2 linked regions of the Elephas maximus indicus genome follow. The protein of the gene in region 2 purifies or fractionates together with the protein of the main gene of each other region. This does not show direct contact. Links are inferred from orthologs where the notes say so. Each region holds a gene or a part of one and is shown on either strand. Other genes may lie near its edges.

Region 1 (10,301 bases), on a different chromosome or scaffold from region 2:
TTGACTATAAATTGGGACTGATGCCCACTACTAGCAGCAAGGGCATCTAGCGAAATATATACTTCAACAGGGCAAACTGCAGCTCCAAATTGGGGTTCTGTCTATAAAGAAGGGAGAATGGATATGGGTGGGCAACTAGAGGTAATTCAGGGGTAGTGAGTATCTCTGGAGAATGAGAGACAGTGTTGGAAGGGTTAAGACAAAGGTAAGGATGGATCCAGGCCCCAGCAGCGAGGGCAGGAGGGCTTGACTATAAACTTGGCATCACTGAGCCCCAGTTTAGGCACTGGCTGAGGGGTTCCCCATTTCATCACAAGACTATAACTATCAAAGTAACATAGTTACTAGCGTTAACTCTAAAAAAAAAAAAAATTTTTTTTTAACTCTAGGTACATATTAATCAAGATTTCTGCCCAATAACAGACAATATTAGGATTACTGTTTCAAAGCCATATTACAGGAAGTCCCCAACTTATGACATATTCGAGTTACGACGAACCGCACTTACAACCATCTGTTTTTCTTTTCTTGTACAGCTTATCATTAGTAATATGTACTACATACAATGTTGCAGAGTGTAATTTGCTGATGTTATCATTCTAAGACGTTCTCTCGCAGATGTTCAATATTATGATTTAGAAAGATACTGATAATAAAAGGCAATAACAATGAAAACTAAAAAAAAAAAAAAATGAGGTACTCAACTTACGTGAGAACTAACTTACGACAGAGTCGTCAGAAGGGAATCTGTCCTAAGTCAGGGACTACCAGTATTAGCTGTTGTGTGCCAGGTTCTGCATATAATATTATCTATAATCTTCATGACAACTTTGTGAGGTATTTTATTTTCCCCATCTTACAGATGAGCAAACTGAGGCTTAGACTGCCCTAGGTCACAGAGCCAATAGGTGTTACTGTTAGTTGTCATCGGGTCGATTCCAATTCATAGCAACCCCATGTGTGCAGAGTAGAACTGCTCCATAAGATTTTCAACACTAGGACCTTTCAGAAGCAAATCACTGGGCTTGTCTTCTGAGATGCCTCTGGGTGGGTTCAAACTGCCAATAAGTAGAGGTCCTGAATCCAAACCCAAACCAATTCCAAATTTCTTACTCTTGTCTCTGTATCAGGTTGCTTTTTCACTAGCCCTCCTTTAGTAGTTGAAAATGGCAATATGTTAAAAACACCGCAGCCTGGTGTGTTTTCTAAGATGCATATTTGGTTGGAGAGATGGAGGTAGTATTGAGTGGTGCTGAGGACTCCTGCTTGTTAAAGCCTTGTTTTCTTGGTGTATATTTAGATCCCATCTGTCACTGGAGATGCTGGAAAACATCATAAAGAACCAAATATATGTATAAAGAAGTAGAGATCAAATGGTGCAGATGTAGCCAATAAGCTACAGACAGGCAATCAATGATGTCTGGAAAAACTCTGGATGCTGTTAATTAAGAAATGAGCAGCTGTCCAGCCCAAGAGCTGGCAAGGCTCCTTGGATGGATATATGGAGGCAAGAAAAAAAGGGCCACAGCCACGTACATGAAAAATGACCTGTTGGTCTATCTCACATGGGTATACAGGCCTGAGTTCAGCCTTGTTGTTGTTAGCTACTGTCAAGCGGGTCCCCAACTTACAGCAACCCCACGCAAAATGGAACCAAAAGCTGCCTGCTCCTGTGCATCTTCCTGATGTGTCACAGATCGAACCACTGGGATCCACATGGTTTGCACTGACTGATTTTTGGAAATAGATCACCAGGCCTTTCTTCCTGGCCTGACTTAGTCTGGAAGCTCTGCTAAAACCTGTTCAGCATCATAGCAACATGCAAGCCTCCACTGACAGATGGCTTGCGGCTGTGTATGAGGTGCACTGGCCAGGAATCGAACTTGGGTCTCCCACATGGAAGGTGAGAATTCTACCACTGAGCCATCACTGTTCCCTTGTTGTCATACACTATTAAGTCAATTCTGACTCACAGTGACCCTACAGGACAGAGTAGAAGTGTCCCATAGGATTTCTAGGTCTTTTCTTCTGCAGAGTGGCTGGTGGGTTCGAACCATCAACCATTCCCTTAGTACCAAAGTGCTTACCCACTGGGCCACCAGAGTGCCTTACTCTCCCCTTAACCCATTGCCATCAAGCTGATTCTGACTCATAGCGACCCTATAAGACAGTAGACCTGCTCCACAGGGTTTCCAAGGAGTGGCTGGTAGATTTGAACTGCCAGTCTTTTGATTAGCAGCCAAGCTCTTAACCACTGCACCACCAGGGCTACTCTGTCCCCATAGGGTTCTGAAATGCTCTTGCTGAAGGATCAGGATCTTGGATTAGAAGGCTGGAAGGTTAGCAAGGCAACTACAGACAGACTTCTAACCTTTAGGCCTGCCCTGACCTCCAGCCTCCTAGTCCAGTCTAGTTGTATATTATAAATGGCTCACTAGATTGTACCCGACCCCTCCGAATATTGGCTATATCCTGACACTCAGTCTAAGATAATATCAAGTCTTAAAAGGTCTTATCTGTATCTAGAAGAGTAAACTTCCCATTCTCATTCTTTTTTTTTTTCCTTTTCCATCCATGCATTACGTATTTACCAAGAGCCTGTACCTACCAGGCACTGTTCTAGATGCTGAGAACACAACAGTGAACAATGCAGTAGACAGTCCCTGCCTTCATGGAATTTAGAGGTTAGTCAGGGGAGGCAGAGGTTAATCAAATAGCCTCCCAGCCCAAACATCAACTGTGACTGCAATCTATTGTTAAGCACTGAATAAGGACCAGGAATTATACTAACTGGATTGCCAAGACTATGCTTTATCCCCTCCTCAGATCTGAGGAAACTGAGGCTCCGAGAGGTAATGCAATTTTTCCAAGGTCCTAGGTCATACTACCTACAAAGTGACAGAGCTGGGATTCTGATCCAGCACAATCTGATGCAAAAAAACCCATGCGTTTGGCTACTTTTCCATTTCCCCCCTTGGCAGCCTATGGATCTCATTTCTTTCCCCGTTTCTGCCCTTTCTCCTTTGAGGTCTGGATTTGGGCTTGTAGGCTTGCAGAATTTATACCCTCCATGCAGTCTTTGACATAAAATATTCCAGCATCTAATATGTACAAGTCACTGTGTCATGTCACTCATTACGGGCAAATTTTAAGACTGAGAATCAGCAGTGATTGTTACCTAAAACCAAACCCGCTGCCGTTGAGTCGATGAGTAGAACTGCCCCACAGAGTTTCCAAGGAGCTCCTGGCGGATTCAAACTGCCAACCTTTTGGTTAACAGCTGTAGCACTTAACCACTATGCCACCAGGGTTTCCAATGTTACCTAAAGGATACCTGGAAAAAAGAGATTACTACCTAGGCCAAAATTTAACAAAATATTCTGTGCAGAGATTGCTAAACATTCTAGATGATTAATACAGCAATGGCGCTCCCTGGTGACCACTGTGGTTTGTTACACTTTCCTTGACCTTGGGAAGCAGCACATTTGCAGGGTTTGAGTGAATAAGCTCTACTAGTCCCGGTCACCTGTGCTCCCCTTGCCTGCCCCATTTATACCAATTCTAGAGGCAACGTCAAGGGCATGGGGTGAGCATCTTTTCACAGTTCAGAGTTTATAGCAACCAGGATCACTTGGGATCACCTACCCGTTAGGTCATGACAGACTAACCCGCCATCTCCTACTAAAGTGATTCTTTCTTTTCTCAAGATTGTCGCCATAAATGTCCCCATCCACACAGTCTCTGACCCTATCCCATGGCTACAGGAAACAGACAAGAACTAAAGCAAACACTCACCCGTTCAACCAATATTTATTGGAACCCTCTCTGAGCCAGGTTCTTGGGGCCCAGGCTCTTGGTCTAAGTATAGGTCCTTGGGTGGTACAAATGGTTTGTTTTTAGCTACTAATGCAAAGGTTGGCAATTTTAGTCCACCCAATGGCACCACAGAAGAAAGGCCTGGCAATCTACTTCCATAAAATTACAGCCATTGAAAATTCTACGGAGCTAGTTCTACTCTAAAACGTGGGATCGCTATGAGTTGGAATCGACACAACGGGTTTGGTTTGGTTTTCTCAGAGTTATACATTGTGGTAAGGGCTGGGGAAATAGCAATGAATAAGTTGTGGTCCCTGCTCTAAAGGTTATACTCCGGCAGGGGAGACAGGCCACCAATTAGCCTATAAATGATTCACTTTGAATTACAGTAAATGCTACAAGAATGAGGTTCTAAGAGTCTATATCAGGGAGACAAAACCTGTTGTGTAACAATCAAGCAGCACCTGGACCCAAGGTTAGCCACATCTCCAAGAGACCGAAGAAAGACTCCAGAACCAGCAATCATGACATATGGTTTACTGGGAAGCTTACTTATGGGACAGTGACCCAGGGCAGTGGCTGGACCAGTTTAGTGCTCTGCAATTGCCTAGCAAGGGGAACAAGCTTACATACCGTTTCAGCTGGGACCAAGGCTCATGGTTTTACTCCCATGTCCTTGGGCAGGTAGCGTTCCCAGGGACTTCTCATCCAGGCCCTTTCTTGCTAAGGCATTCCTCGGCCTTGGCCACTGGCCTAGTCACACCATTCCTGGCCTTGTACCTTAGTCCCAGTCCATCCCGAGTTCATCCCCAGCATGCTTTGGGGAAGAGCAAAACTAACTCCATTAGAAGGAAATACCTATAGCTGAAGCATTACCCTAAAAAACCAGATTAGGGTTGGAGATCAGAAAAATTTGCCCTGAGGAAAGAAAGTAAGGTGTGGTGTGCCTAAACTGGAGGGGAGGTTGGCCAAGGTGATCAGGGAGCTTGGAAGAGAATGAACCTGGGGCCCAGGCAGCCTGAATTGGGCTTCTTCTGAGGCTAACTGTGAATGATGAAAGTGTAGGGTTCATTAGTAGGAATAGATCTCAGGTGATTTCAAGGACGGTGATGGTATTAAGGGAGAATGTTTGACATTAACTTATCATGAGGAAGGTTGAGCTGATGCCAAACGACGAGTAGAAACTAACACCTGAATATTTATCTTGAGGGTTAATTTAAACTATCATGAGTAGTAAATGTTGGAATGGAGAATATCCTGGATCTCTGCCAATCCTGGATCTTCCAGGAAGCCAAGGATATTGCAGAATTTATTATTTACATCCCCTCCATTATCATGTATGATTTGGAAATAACAACAGCTGACATAATTGCCGGGGTTGTGGGCAGGAGCTAAAGCGCAAAAAGATGCAAAGAAGAGAGAATAATGGTGGCAATCATAGAGTTCCAACAGTGAATTGTGGCTGTAAAAAATCTGGATATAAAACCTTATCTATTGTATGATGTCAGATAGCTCTTGGGATGTAGCGCGCCTTAGGTTAAGCACGCAAGATTTCGATTCAGGAAACCTGGGTTCAAATCCTATCTTTCCACTTCCAGCTGTGTGCTCACGTTAACAAACTCTTGCGCCTTCATTTCTGCATCTGTAAAAGGCGAATAATAGCAACTACTTCTTAGACTGTTGTGAAGTGGTGCTTGTAAAGTGCTTAGCATCATGCCTGGCATATTCCAGTTACTCGATACTAGGTTTTTAATTATTATTTAATATCTGAGAGAAAATCTACCCACGTGTAAGACACTTACCAGAGATCTTCATTTTCTTTCCTCACACTTTTCCAATTTTCTAAAATGTGCATGCATTGCTCTTAAAATCAGAAGAAAAAGTCAAATTTTTGAATAATAGAAATTTGACAAGTCCGCTGTTTTTTAAATTTCCCTGATTATATTGTTTAGTAGGGGGTGGGAGTACATGTTAAAAACACAAATTCCTTGGCCCCGACCCAGAAATACTGAATCAGAGTCTCCAAGGGATCAGCTTGGTAATCTACACTTTTAGCAAGCACCGCAGATGATTCTTATAATCAAGCACTGTTGAGATAAATTGGATTAATGTGAGGATAGTAGTGACTCGACTGGGATAGGCGACCCGCTTGCAGCACCCACGAGGGCCTGAGCCTACAATTCCCATACTGCCCCCGCAAACTCGCGACGGGCGCGTCCGGAGCCTGCCGGGAATTGTAGTTTTCGTGCACCACACTCCTGCTTATAAGAAAGCCCGAACTGATGCCGAAAACTTCCCGCCCCAGAATGCAAAAGTCAAGAGTGACGCAATCTGGAGCGCGCCAGGTATTGAGCGGGGAGTTTCGGCCGCCTCTGCTGCCGCCGCCGCCGCCGCCGCCTGAGAGCCTGCTTTCTGCACCGCCGCCTCCTTCGCAGCCTCCCCCGCTTCCCTCATCTCTTTGGGAGCCTACTGCTCCGCCACCCCCTCTACGCGACTCGGGCCCTCTTCCCCTGAGAAGAAGCTTTATTCGGCCTCGGTCGCGGGGCCGGAGCGCAGCCATGGCTGACGGCGGCGGGGGAACGGGCGCGGTGGGCAGTGGCGGAGCGGGCCCGGCCTCCGCAGGGGCAGCGTCAGGCGTGACAGGCGCCGGCGGCAGCGGCGGCCCCATCAACCCCGCGTCGCTGCCCCCCGGCGACCCGCAGCTCATCGCGCTCATCGTGGAGCAGCTCAAGAGCCGGGGCCTGTTTGACAGCTTCCGCCGGGACTGCCTGGCCGACGTGGACACGAAGGTAGCTGAGACCGCCTGGGTCGAGCGAAGCCGGGCTGGGTGTGAGGCCGCCAAGGTTGCAGCCTTTTTTTTTCTAAAGCAGAGACAAAAAGACAAAAGATACCTTTTAAATCTCAGCGGTGAGGTGTTAAACCGCTTGGGGCAGTACAGAGAGCTGAGTCGTACTTCTGTGGAGCAGACTCCCAGCCCGCCACTTTGTAGCTGTACGATTTTAGCCTGATCGCTTCTCAGAACTTCAGGGCGATTAATACTAGTTTTTAGAACCCAGATTCTATCATTCCCGAGATGGGACTCTTTTAAATCCCTCAATAACAAACCTCAATTCGTTACAAGCGGTGGAGAAAACCAGGTAGGTAAGCAAGAATGGTTTAGAATTTCCACCAGTTCTCTATTGAACGCGGTAGTTTGAATGCAGTCATCAGCGTATTATAGCGATTCATTTGTTCCTTTGCTCTGCCTCAGTGATTTGCAAACTTTAGTATCTAGTTAAAGTCCGTTGTTGTTAAAGCACCCATATATTGTATTCCATCATTGATTAAAGGGGGTTTGGTGCTTATTTGAGAATTAATGCCATAGGTCAACCCCCAGTAAAACTGCAATTTCACTTTACCTACTTTCAGGGTTTGTTGGGATTCAATGAAATAATGTGTATTAAATGTCAGACACTTAATTTCTGGAATATTCATTTTCTTTTTTTAGAAGCTTTTCCAAGCACGATCAAAGACTCTTTAAGTTGTAGGTTTTGGCGGCGCTCTTACTGGCTGGGCTCCTCTAGGGATATGATTTTTCCCTCTTTTAACCTATTATGGAAGTCTTGTTGCCTGCTTTACAGGAGGAAACCCTGGTGGTGTAGTGGTTAAGTGCTACAGCTGCTAACCAAGAGGTCAGCAGTTCAAATCCGCCAGGCACTCCTTAGAAACTCGATGAGGCAGTGCTATCCTGTCCTGTAGGGTCGCTGTGAGTCGGAATCGACTCTACAGCAATAGGTTTGGTGTGTTTTTGGTACTTTACAGGAAGATTGTGGCCTGAAAATGAGACCTTAAAGATAAGGGAAGGACATAATCTAGTTATTCATTGAACATTTACTGAACTAATAATATGGCAGTGTTCCTGTGAAGGTGCCGGAATAAGTAAGCCACTGACCCCATCTCAAAGCTCATGTTTTAAGATAGAAAACTTACATGTAAACCAGGTAGTATATATAGTAAAGTTCTGCTTGCCGTTTTACTCCTCCAAGATAAAAACCCCATGTTAGAAGCGAAACAAGGTACTTGCTGTTCTTTAAGGAACCCGGAAAACCATGTCACCTGCTTTCTCCTTCTTCAGAAGGACCCTGGATGTTTCCCATCAACAAAATCTCCACTCATTTCTTATGATTAGGTTTTGTGGCTTAATCAAAAAAAAAAGAAATGATCCAGAATATTAAGAAGCTGTTGGGAAGCAGGGGGTCGGAAGGCAACCACATATGTTGCTGGGTGCCATCAAGTCAGTTCAACTCATAGCAACCCCGTGTGGCAGTAGAACTGTCCATAGGACTTTCTAGGTTGGTGGTGCAGTGGTTAAGTGCTTGGCTGCTAACCAGAAGGTCAGCTGTTGGAACCTACCAGGCGCTCCGAAGAGGAAAGATGTAGCAGTCTGCTTCCGTAAAGATTTACAGCTCATTGGAAACCCTGTGGGGCAGTTCTCCTCTGCCCTGTAGCATCGCTATCGGTTGGTAATCGACTTGATGGCAGTGGGTAATCGTTACAAGAATAGATCGCCAGTTCTTTCTCCTGCAGAGCCACTAGGTGGGTTCAGCTGAGCACATAACCGTTGTGCCACCAGGGCTCCTTACAACCACTTATACCTTTTAATTGTTTCTTCTGGTAGTTACCGGGTGGTTTTAATTCTTAAAGACAGTGTCTTCGGGCATGTCTTATCTGAGACCTTTGTTTAGCTCAGTGTTTCTCCAAAGTGTGATCCCTGGATCAGCGGCACCAGTATCACCTGGGAACTTATTAGAGGTGGAAGTTTTGGGCCCCACTCAAGTACCAAAGTGCACAGGGGAAAGTGTACTGATGTCTGTAATTTGCTGTGCCATCCACCCGGTATACAAGTAATTAAATAGAATGACCTGATGGCTGATTAAGAGAGGACTGGTTGGATAGATAAATGATAAAACATTTATAGTAAGGTGTTAATATAGGGACATTAGGTCCTTTGACTAGATGAACTGTATGTCAAGTCTGTTAAAGGTTTGGTACTAGCATTTGCTATCCTTTGCCTTTTTTCAGTAAACAGTTTCTGTCATCTCAAACTGTGTGAATTGTTTTGAGTGGTAGAAGGTACAGCATCAGGATTCATGGTTAAAAGTGACGGAAATCTAATTCTAAGTCCTTTAAGCAAAGAGAGGAGTCTGTTGACTCGTGGAATCCAAGGAAGGATTGAATGAACAAACTGTGCCAGAATAGGAGGGATGCGTTTGCAACCTGGGATTCTCCATTAGGGCGCTCTTTCCTCTCTGCTCTTACATTTATGTTACTGTGTCTGCAGAGTGGAGTCATCCATTTGGTTGCCAGCATCACTTGAGCACTCTTAACAGATTTTTCCTCTCTGAGCTCCGGTTGTAAAGATCTCAGGCAACGCTTGCCTTGTCTTAGCTTGCGGCAGGTGAACAGGGCCATAAGAACATGGCAGCCACTTGCCAACCCCTTGTGAAGAGAAGATGGTTACCAGGAAAAAGGAGTTGTTAACTGTGAATTTTACTCCTCTTCAGCCTCCTCCCAGCCTTCCTCATTTCAGGTTTAGTGGAGATTCTTTAGTAGGCTTGTAAGCCTGCTTTCTTGGTATTTTGGAAGAGTCTACCCATGGCAGGAGGCCTGGTGATTGCTTTGATGAATTCATTTGCCTGATGTGTTAGGAAGCTTTTGCCATAGTAATGCTGCATAGGAAACCAAACCTCAGTGGCTTATAACAATAAGCATTGGCGCTCATTTATGCGGCTAGAGCTGCGAGTCAGCTTAAGTTCGGCTGACCTAGGCAGGCTTCAGCTGGGTGGCTCAGCGCTAGGCTGCCTGGGCTCGTGTCCAGGCTGTGGGTTGGGTTTAGGTCTGGGTGCACATGCGCTCATTCTAGATTCCAGGCTTGAAGGGGCAGTGGCGACACAGGACATGCCCTCCCAAAGTCATGCAAGAGCCAAGGCAGATGCACAAGCACATTTGAGGCCTCATGTCACTAACGTTCCATTGGCCAGAGCAAATTACAGTTCAGGCCAGCACCGTTGGGGGGGAGACATATGCACTGCCCACCTTGGGTGGGCTACAGCGTGAAGTGCCGACCAGCGGCCTACACGCTCATATCTGGTTTGGAGAGGAGAGGCACTGATAGAGTCAGAAGGTCTTTGGCTCAGGACGTGCATTCCTGTGTTCACCAAAACAAAAAACAAACCCATTGCCATCGAGTAGATTTCAACTCACAGCGAGCCTAGAGGACAGAGTAGAACTGCTCCATAGGGTTTCCAAGGAGCGCCTGGTGGATTCGAACTGCCAACCTTTTGGTGAGCAGGTATAGCTCTTAACCACTATGCCACCAGGGTTTCCAAGTTACTTCTAATTCTTCTGACGCTAGTTTTGTTTAGAACGTTTGCCACCAGTAAGTGCCTCTCAAGCAGAGAATGCTCTTTTTTGGACTAATGTCTTACTGAGGTGTGGGTAGATCT
Region 2 (10,655 bases):
CTGGAGATTTGGAGCAGAGGGAGAGTGGTGAAGGAGGGTGGTTCCACCTAATGTTACCCAGACCACATCCTGCCCCAACCATTACTCCCCTCCTCTAACTCCACGTGGCGCCCACACTCACCCCTCAATGCGTGTGGGGTACATGGACCCAAAGGACGTCTGGCTCTCATACTGGAGAGATGAACACAAAAGGAAGGAAATGGATGTGGCTGGATGCCCTCCCAGACAACAAATCTGTCCCCTTGAGGCCCACTGATGTTCCCACACCATCCGCCCCCTCAGAATGACACCCTAACCTTGGCGTAGCAGCGTTCCATGTGGCGCAAGGCAACACGTGGGTTGATGGGGTGCCCACAGGAGACGCAGAAGATCTGCAGGTCTGTGTCGTCACTGTCGCCCTCGTTGCTCTGTATGGGGTGGAAAAACAATGAGGACAGGTAGGACCAGGTGCTGGGCCCTGCCATGCCACGCCCACACTTGCTCACCTCCTCATCCTCGCGCACAGCCTGCTGCTTGGCACGCAGAATGATGGCCTCGAGCTCGTGGAATCGGCGTTCCATTTCCTGAAGGCGAGTGCGGGCACTCTGCTGCTCACGGCGAATGCGTTCAAGCAGCTTCTTGCCGTGTTCCTCAGCAATGCAGGGGCTCTGCTGCCACTGCTGGATGCGCTGGGGGAGGATCTCATAGATGCGGCTGCAGGGACAGTGGGTGCGGTGTAGGCCGGGAAGGTGGCAAGTAACCAAGTAACAAGACAAGGAAGTGGGGTGATTAAAGGTGGCAGAATGGACGGATATCTGAATGATAAAATGGTAGATGAATGAGTAGGTGGACTAATGGATGGGTGAGTGAGTAGACAGGTAGGCAGGTGTTTGGTTGTATGAATGGTGGATAGATTATTGATTGGTGGACATACAGATGTGCTGGTCATGCCCTAGTCTGTACTCCCTGAACCCCTGAAATGACTCACTTGGCTGCCAGCTTCATGCCACAGTCATCTGAGCAATACTTGGAGCCGGGCTGTGCGGGACGCACACAGCCAGGCCCCAGGCACTGCGGTAGCGATGCAGGGTCCTTGGCATCAGTCCGCTCTGGGTGTTTCCATTTGTCTTTGTGCTTCTGTTTTTGTCGATGCCGCTTATATCTCTCCTCCTTCTATGGGCCAGGGCAGGGAAAGTCAGAGGGCAGGTGAAGTTAGCCCCAGACCCTACCATTCCACCCCTTCTGGCTCTTGCCTCCTATAGCCCCTGATCCTTGCCTCCCCACACCCCTGCCCTGGCCACTGCCTCCCATGTTTTAGTTCACCCCTTCCGTCACCTTCTTCTCAGACTTCTTCTCCCGGCGCTTTACATGCTTCACTTTCACTGCTCTCTTCCGCAGTGCGGGATCCAGGAATGGAGACTCCTCTGTGTCACTCATCCAGGGCTGCAAGCAGGGCATGCATTGATCCCTCCACCCTACTCATGACAACCCTGCCACATAATTTCCCAAATCAGTCTTCCATACCCTCTGCCTCCTTCTTCTCTGCTCTGTAACCTCCACCCTTCCACCATCGGACACTCCTGCCTGCTCACCAGGCCGTGGTCATCAAAGGCCCCAGCACAGAAGTCCTGGTACAGGTCAGGGTCCAGTGGTAGGTCCTCGTCTGAGAGTGGCTCAGGAGTGGCTGTAGCCTCAGGTGGCTCCTTGACCGCTGATGACACCACAGCTCCCTCGTCCTCACGGATGCGCCCCAGCTTCTGTGATGGCTGTGGCTGCTGCTGGGTGGGCAATGGCCGGCGGGGCCTTGGCAGGGACTCTGAGGGCGTCACCGGCGAGAGCTGCAGGGCAGAACCTCAGGACTGGCCCTGACCGCCCTGCCCGCATGCCCCCCACCCCACCCTGGGGGGCTGGACTCACCGAGGAAGGGAAGTACTTGTACGATTCCTGTGCCGGCAGGAGGAAGGCCCAGGTCAGCCCCAGGTGGATGGAGGTTGGCCCCACCCACCTAGCCCTGCCTTGCTTCCCTAGACACACCTGGCCCAATCCCACCCACCAGAACCTGCTCAGCCCTGCCCCACCTGCCTGACCACCTGGAAACACCTGGCCTCACCCTGCCCACTCAAATACATACAGGGCTATGGGATCTCCTGCCAGTCCAATACATCTGGTTATGCCCCATCTATCTGGACGTGTCAGGCCCCTTCCCACCTGCCTGGATACAACCCAATCCACCCATGCATAAACTGAACCAGCCGCTCCTGGACACAATGTCCCCACCCCACCTGACCCTGCCCAACTCCACCCATGCTCACCCGGGCCCGAAGCTGGCACTGGCGTAGCCGGCACTTCTGCCGGATCTTGTTGGGGCCTCCAAACTTCTTCATGTCCCGGCAGAAGTCACAGTGGCCACAGTCTTCAGTACGCCGGCACGCCTCACACTCACCGCACATGCGGGCTGACCGTTTGATCTGTTGCTGCTGCTGGTGATGCTGGGGAAGATGACAGGAATGAATCAGGAACCCATACAGGGTGCAGGATGGAACCATCCTATCCATCCCAACCACCAAAGTCACTCACCTGGCTGGGTGTGGGCACCAAGGGCTGTGGAGAGGCTTTGTGGGGTGAAGCAGAGCCCCGAGCAAGAATGGCCCCGACCCCTGTCCCAGACCCCACCCGGCGCTGCAGGTCTGGATCCGGGGCAGGCCTCTTGCGCCCTCCACCCTCATCCCGGGGCTCACTGCTGTCCCGCTCACTGCCGTCCCGCTCCCGTGACTTCTTGTGCCGGTAGCGGATCTCCAGTTTGGGGTCCTTCTCTGTCGGGGGGAGGATGGGGCCACTGGCAGTTCAGTATTGGGGGTGGTTTGGATGGTCCCGGAACTCTTTATTTTCCTTTCCTTCCCATACCACCCACCCGCTCCATCCCCCTGCTCCAGGGCAAAGCTGCTCCCTCTTGCAGGACCCTCTATTGTGGCTCACGATGGAGCCCCAGTTCCAGCTCACCACGGACCAACAATTGCTCTGCCCCCAGACACATCATCATTATTTCCCACACCCCCCTCCCATTGTGGTTCCCTCCTCCTCTTCCTCGCCCTTTGAAGCTCCACCTGCCTGCCCTGTCTATCCCACCTCCCCCTCACCTCGGCACTCCCGACAGTACCACTCCCGGATGGCTTTGGCCATCTTCTCAGTGATCCGGATGCAGTCCCCATGAAACCACTCATTGCAGTTGTCACACCCGCTGCAGAGGATGGGGCGGGTGGTGGAGAAGTGAGGGCCCAGGCCCCATCAGCATCACCCAACCCTGCCAGGTATCAACCCCACCCGCGTCTCCCCGGCTCACATCATGAAGCAGTTGATGTCTGGCTTGCGGCAGATGCAGTAGATGGGCGCATTCTCCCCATTCTCCGACTTGCTATCCTCCCCAGCATCTGGTGGCTCTGGGTCTGAACCGTCCCCCTCCTGTGGGATCCCCCATTATGACTCCTCAGAGAACCCCCAAAATGGCACCACTCCCCCTCATTACAACTCTTATCATGCCTCGCCACAGATACCCATGGCTTTGCTGAGAACTACCATCATGCCTCCCCATAAGTTTCTCCACTATGGTCCTTATAGACCAGGCAGGATTTTGTTCTGTTGTACATAAGGTCACTATTAGAACCGACTTGACAGCACCTGACAACAGCAGCATGGTCCTTACAGACCCCCCCGTAACACCTCATTACTGCCTATAGACCCTTTTTATTCTACCCCAGACCTCCCATCACTCATGCCACTGACACCCCATGACTTTAAACACAAACCCTCATAAAGGCTCATCACAAACATCCTAGTACTCGCCATATACTGCCTCCTCCGTGGCTCCCCACAGACTTCCACCACGGGTTCTCACAGACACCCCGTGATTTACCACACAAACTCCTCATCATTGTTCTCCACAGATTTCCCACTATTTACTCCACACACCCTCCTCACGCCGCACTACAGACCGTCCGACACGGCTCATCACAAACTCTTTATCACTCTGTCCAAAGAACCCCTCATCACGGTTCTCCACAGAACCGCCATCAGTGATCCCCACTAACCTCCCATTATGGACCCCCTTCTGGCCCCTCACAGTACTTTCATCATGGCTCACCACAGACCTCCGTCGTTCTTCCCAAAGGACCCTCTGAGGCTCACCACAGACCCCCCCATCATTCCGCCCACAGGCTCCTGTTATAGCTCACCACAAACTCCCATGCGTCTGTCGTCGGACTTCACCATTACGAACCTCACCGACCTCTACCGCAGAACTCCCTGGACTGGTACTCACCATATCTCCAATTCCCAAGCACCCGCTCGCAACCTCGGCCAGCGACAAGGTAACCTGCACAGACCACTCCGCGGCGTCCGCGGCCGTTGCAAAGGCGACTAGAACCACTTCCGCTTCTGGTCGCGCCAACCGGGCACCGTACCCTATTGCGCAGGCTCCGTACGGCGGCTCCGCGGCAAACAAGCTATACGCCCGCCTAGAGCCCTGAATGGCTCTTAGGAGCCGCCATCTTGACTATCGAGTCCGTAAGGCGACCGAGTCCGTAAGTTCCCGTGAAACATGGCAGCGCCTGTATGGCAGCTTTCCTCTGGGGGCTGCCACCTTGTCGGTCGAATCCGTACGCTGACCGCCTGTACTGTATCGACGTTAACAAGCAATATGGCCTCACCTACTGCGCGAATTCCATGAAGCCGCTGTCATCTTGGAGTCTGATTCCGTAACCTGGCCGAGTTCATAAAGTCACAGGCACCATGGCAGCGCCCTAGTTGTGGCTACCGCAAAGGCGCCGCCATGTTGACAGTTGACTCCGTACAACGACTGTTTGTAGTGCAGTGGCCAAGCGGCCTCTGAGGAAACGGATCAGATGAAACCTTTCATTCATTCCTCCACTCAATCACTTTTCCTTTCCACATGCGTTAATGGGGAGCCAACAGGTTATATGGATCGCGTTAGGAAGGCAGTCAGTCCTCCCCGTTACATCTCTGACTTCACCTCACAGAAATTTTCTTCTTCACGCTTCCTCACTATTCCTCAAATTAGCCAGGCGCGGGTCAGCCTCTGGGCCTTTGCTGTTTTTACAGGAACAGCCTCGCCCTGGTGGCGCAGTGGTTAAAGCGCTCGACTGCTAACCTAAATGTCAGCAGTTCGGCTGTCAAAGCTTAAAATTGAGCATGATCTGTAAATAGAGACGTAACCCCCTTGTGGGCGGGGCGGGGGAGGTGTCTGACCTCTACATTCACAAGGGAGGAGAACCAATAGGAACAAGCTAAGACTGATTCCTACGAGGTGGAAGTCTGACATGCCTCCACCCTCCAACCTTTTTACCAATTCTGACACCAACTGTCCCCTCCCAGGACACTCTTTACTTCTCTTTGGGTTTGATAACTTGTTGCAATGACCACACAGAACTCGCAGACAATACTCACGCTTATGGTGTTTATTAGGGAAGTAACCGATTACAATTCAGGCTCTTGAATGCTCAGGACACAGTTCTTCCATAAGGACAGCCTCATTTCAGACTCTCTGGCCCCTCAGACTCTTGGCCTCTCCAACCTCTTGGCCTCTTGCTGGTCCTTTGGCTTTTGCTCTGCTCAGGCGAGTGTTACAAACTCTTTTAGCTCTGTTGATAAATGCCCGGGGGGCACCCCACTCTGCCAATAAGCCTTGTGCCTCACCGTGTTCAGCTCTAGCTCCTTTGGCTGGGAAGCCCCACTGCAGCCTTCTTGCGCTGGTCTCCTAATTTCTGCCATCTTGCAAGTCTCTCACTGTCTTCCATGTTACAGCTCCTTTCTGTCTCCTGGATGTAGGAAGTTCTCAGCTCAGGGATCCTGGATCCAAAAAATAGCCTCTGCTCCTGGCTCTTCTTTCTTGGTGGTGTTGAGATCTTCTCTTCTTGCCTCTGGGATGGCTCATTTTAAGCCTAGAGGGATGGCAAAATTGACCAATTCTCTCATTAGGGTGCCATATACCTTATTTGCATGATCCCACCTACACAAGGGTGCCATGCACATTATTTACATTATTAGCAAGCTATCCAATTCCTTTGGTGGGACACAAGCACCTCATTTACATAGTCCCACCCTGTCATTTGGTGAGAGCTCCAAAAACTACGGCTAGAAGGGCCATACTAAATAATTCACTGTGCCACAAGAGAACAATAGTTTTATTGAGGACTAGAACGGTTCAAAACAGGCAGCACAAAGCAAGTGCAAAGTGCTGCAGAGGGGTTATGTAGAGAGGGATTTTTACATACAGTTTAGAGCAATGAACAAATCTTGACATCAGCTTATCTATTTTAACATTCTTTCTGAGAAAGATCTGCACAAGCAATCTTTCAAAGTACAGTCACAAGACCCCCTCTTTAGGTAACATTTTGCCATATGTTTAACCACATTCTTGCTCCCTCCTTGACTGCTCAAGTAGGGTAGTTAAAACTTTACAAAAGTGGAAAATTCCATCCACAATCTAAAAGCAGAAGTGAAGGTTAGAAGCAAAATAGAGTCTGATTCAAACCTGTGTCAGCCACCTTAGTTATGCCAAGCACCTTAGATTTTTAGGGTGCACTCACACAGAGCTCACCAGGTGCTCCACAGGAGAAAGATATGGCAGTCTGCTTCCATAACGATTTACAGCCTTGGAGAAAAAAAGAAAAGGCCACATAAATCAGAGACTACATCAGCCTGAGACCAGAAGAACTAGATGGTGCCCAGCTATAACTGATGACTGCCCTGATAGGGAGCACAACAGAGAATCCCTGATGGAGCAGGAGAACTGTGGGATGCAGACCTCAAATTCTCGTAAAAAGACCAGACTTAATGGTCTGACTGAGACTGGAAGGACCCCAGAGGCCATGGTCCCCAGACCTTCTGTTAGCCCAAGACTGGAACCATTCCCAAAGCCAACTCTTCAGACAGGAATTGGACTGGACTATAAGATAGAAAATGATACTAGTGAGGAGTGAGCTTCTTGGCTCAAGTAGACACATGAGACTATGTGGGCAGCTCCTGTCTGGAGGGGAGATGGGAAGGCAGAGGGGGACAAAAGCTGGCTGAATGGACACAGGGAATACAGGGTGGAGAGAAGGCGTGTGCTGACTCATTAGGGGGAGAGCAACTAGGAATACATAGCAAGGTGTATATAAATTTTTGTATGAGAGACTGACTTGATTTGTAAACTTACCTTAAAGCACAATAAAAATCATAAATAAATAAAAGATTTACAGCCTTGGAAACCCCATGGGGCAATTCTACTCTGTCCTAGAGGGTCACTACCAGTTAGAATTTACTCAATGACAACAGGCTAGGTTTTGGTTGTTCTTACCCTCAGAATCATTCATGAGCAATGATGGAAGACCTTAAATGATGATGAGTGTGGGTCCTAGTGAGAAGTGGCCAGATCAGAAGTAGATTTTGAAGTCACAGTCAGCCAATGTCACCAAGTCCTCCCCTCCACCCCTACTGCCATAGGCTGCAGATGTCCACTTTGATTTTCTAGTTTAGTTGGGGTCTCCCAATATTCTCTTGGAGCCTTGGGGGCACAGTGGTTAAGAGCGTGACTGCTAACCAAAAGGTTAGCAGTTTGAATTCATCAGCCACTCCTCGGAAACCCTATGGGGTAGTTCTACTCTATCCTATGAGTTGAAATTGACTCGATGTCTACAGGTTTTTAATATTCTCTCCTGTAAAGGTTTTTTTTTTTTTTTACTTAAATTGGGTACAATATTCATTAAAAAAAAGAAATAGAGCTACCATATGACTCAGCAATCCAACTGCTGAGAATATACACAAGGGACTTGAAAGCAGCCACTGGAAGAGATGTAAACCAGTGTTCACTGCAGCACTATTCACAATAGCCAAAAGGTGGAGACAACCTAAATGTCCATCAATGAATGAATGGATAAACAAAATGTAATACATGCATACTATGGGTTATTACTTGTCTTTGTCATCTAGTGCTGCTGTAACAGAAAGACCACAAGTGGATGGCTTTAACAAAGAGAAATTCATTCTCTCACAGTTTACCCATTGCCATCAAATTGATACTGACTCATAGAAAACCTGTAGGACAGAGTAGAACTGCCCAATAGAGTTTCCAAGGAGTGGCTGGTGAATCCAAACTCCCAACCTTTTGGTTAGCAACCTGAGCTCTTAACCACAGTTTAGGAGGCTAGAAATTCAGTTTCAGCACTAGGGGAAGGCTCTCTCTGTTGGTTCTGGGGAAGGTCCTGGTCATCAATCTTCCCCTGGTCTAGGAGCTTCTCAGTGGACTGGTCCTGGGTCCAAAGGACACACTCTGCTTCTGGCACTACTTTCTTGGTGGTATGAGATCCCCCTACGTCTCTGCTTCCTTCTCTCTTCTATATCTCAAAGGAGATTGACTCAAAACACAAGCTAATCTAGTAGCTTGAGTTCTGCCTCGCTAATATAACTGCCTCTAAACCTGACACATTAACATCATAGAGGTAGGACTTACAACACATAGGAAAATCATCAATGACAAAATCGTAGACAATCACACAATACTGAAAATTATGACCTAACCAAGTTGACACACATTTTGAGGGGGACACAATTCAATTCATAACACTACTCAACCAGAAAGAAAAAGGATGTCCTGATATATGCTTGTGGTATGATGGATCTCTTTTTTGTAGCCTTTCCCGCCATGGTCTTGTAACTCCTACAAAACGATTGGGTTGGACTATTAAAATAAGGTGCTTGTGATTCACCAAGGGGATTGGACAACTTGCTAATAATGCAAATAAGATGAATGGCAACCTTGTTGGGGTGGGAACATGCAAATAAGGTGTATGGAACACTAACAAGAGGATTGGTTGATTTTGCCATCCCACTGGGCTTAAAATGAGCCATCTCAGAGGCAGAAAAGGGCACCTCACTACCACCAAGAAGAGATGGAAGCAGAGCACGTCCTTTTGAACCCAGGTTCCCCACACTTACAGCCTCCTAGACCCAGGAGACAGAAAGAGAGAGCTATAACACTGAAGATGGCTCAAGGCTGTGAGAAGCAGCAGCAGAAAAACGGCAGCAGCAGAACCAGGAGACCTGCGTGAGATGGCACAATGGGCTTCTTGGCCCAGGGAGCAAGGCAGTTACAGTCAGTGCGCCAACCTACACAGTGAGAGAGATAAGTGTCTTCAGCCAGGAGGCTTACTGGCAAAGTAGGGTTCCTCTGGGTACTTGTCGTCGGAGCTAGGCTTACTGACCCACAGAGCTAGAGAGCTGAGTACCTTTGGGCTGAGATTTACTGGCAGGGTGGGGTGCCTCTGGGCACTTACTGGTAGAACTAAAAAGCTTTGTAACACTTGCCTGAGCAGGGTAGAGGTGAGGTTGAGAGTCTGAGGGGCTGAGGGCCAGAGAGTGGCCTGTCTGTGGGCACAGTTGGGAAGAAGCTGTCCTGATGGAAGAACTGTATCCTGAGTCATTCCTGATCCTGAACTGTAACCTGTTACCCCCCTAATAAATCCCATAATTGTAAGTATTGTCTGTGAGTTCTGTGTGGCCTTTACAATGAATTATCAAACCCAGCAGAGAGGTAGAGAGTGCTGTGGGAAGGAAGGCTGGTGTCAGAATTGGTAAAACGATTGGAAACAGAGGTTTGTCTGACCTGCGTCTCATGGGAATTAGCCTTGGACTGCTGATGCTGATAATGAGTCTCCTTCCCCTCGTGAGGTTAGAGGAGGTCAGATGCCCCCACCACCCCATTCTGACAATGCTACAACATAGGTGGAGCTTCAGGCCATTATGTGGAGTGAAATAAGTCAGTCACAAAAGAACAAATACTGTATGAACTCATTTATATAAAAAGACAAATGTATAGAGACTACAGTTTATTAGTGGTTACCAGGAGCAGGAGGGAAGGAGAAAGGCGAAGTTTTTGCTTACGGAAAATTCACCATTGATTAAGAGTATTGGTTGCACAGCCTTCCTCTCTTTCACTCACCCTTTACTTTACCCAGCATGATGTCCTTCTTCAGGGACTGGACCCTCCTGATAACTTGTCCAAAGCATGTCAGATGAAGTCTTGCCATCCTCCCTTCCAAGGAGCATTCTGGCTGATTTGTTCATATTTCTGGCAGTTCATAGTATATTCAATATTCTTCTCCAATACCATAATTCAAATGCATCAGTTCTTCGGTCTTCCTTATTCATTGTCCAGCTGAAAACACCATGGCTTGGATCAGGCACCCGTTAGTCCTTAAAGTGACATCTTTGCTCTGTAACACTTTAAAAAGGTCTTTTCCAACAGATTTGCCCAATGCAACGCATTGTTTGATTTTTTTGACTGCTGCTTCCATGAGAGTTGATTGTGGATCTAAGTAAAATGAAATCCTTGGACAACTTCAATATTTTCTCTGCTTATCATGATGTTGCTTATTGGTCCAGTTGTGAGGACTTTTGTTTTCTTTATGTTGAGTTGTAATCCACACTGAAGGCTGTGGTCTTGGATCTTCATCAGTAAATGCTTCAAGTCCTCTTCACTTTCAGCAAGCAGGGTTGTGTCATCTGCATATTTCAGGTTGTTAATGTGTCTTCCTCCAATCCTGATGCCCTGTTCTTCATACAGTCCAGTTTCTTGGATTATTTGCTCAGCATACAGACTGAACAGGTATGGTGAAAGGATA

Evidence for each region. Proteins that work in one complex are often made in the same cells at the same time.
Region 1: the proteins of CXXC1 (region 2) and BOD1 purify together in Homo sapiens (affinity purification with mass spectrometry; 4 studies listed by BioGRID and IntAct, counting the BioPlex papers as one, with this or other methods). This does not show direct contact. The link is inferred for Elephas maximus indicus from reciprocal best matches to the Homo sapiens genes CXXC1 and BOD1.

What each region holds. Positions count from the first base shown.
Region 1 is NC_064820.1:192,943,280-192,953,580, reverse strand, and holds the start of BOD1 (biorientation of chromosomes in cell division protein 1), read left to right. Parts: upstream 1-6,162; 5' UTR 6,163-6,374; coding exon 6,375-6,605; intron 6,606-10,301. UniProt on the Homo sapiens protein: Required for proper chromosome biorientation through the detection or correction of syntelic attachments in mitotic spindles.
Region 2 is NC_064829.1:58,940,531-58,951,185, forward strand, and holds the start of CXXC1 (CXXC-type zinc finger protein 1), read right to left. Parts: upstream 5,171-10,655; 5' UTR 4,298-5,170; coding exon 4,295-4,297; exon of another isoform or gene 4,209-4,294; intron 3,439-4,208; coding exon 3,320-3,438; intron 3,218-3,319; coding exon 3,117-3,217; intron 2,793-3,116; coding exon 2,557-2,792; intron 2,469-2,556; coding exon 2,292-2,468; intron 1,924-2,291; coding exon 1,897-1,923; intron 1,818-1,896; coding exon 1,572-1,817; intron 1,423-1,571; coding exon 1,315-1,422; intron 1,153-1,314; coding exon 968-1,152; intron 694-967; coding exon 486-693; intron 408-485; coding exon 297-407; intron 172-296; coding exon 122-171; intron 1-121. UniProt on the Homo sapiens protein: Transcriptional activator that exhibits a unique DNA binding specificity for CpG unmethylated motifs with a preference for CpGG.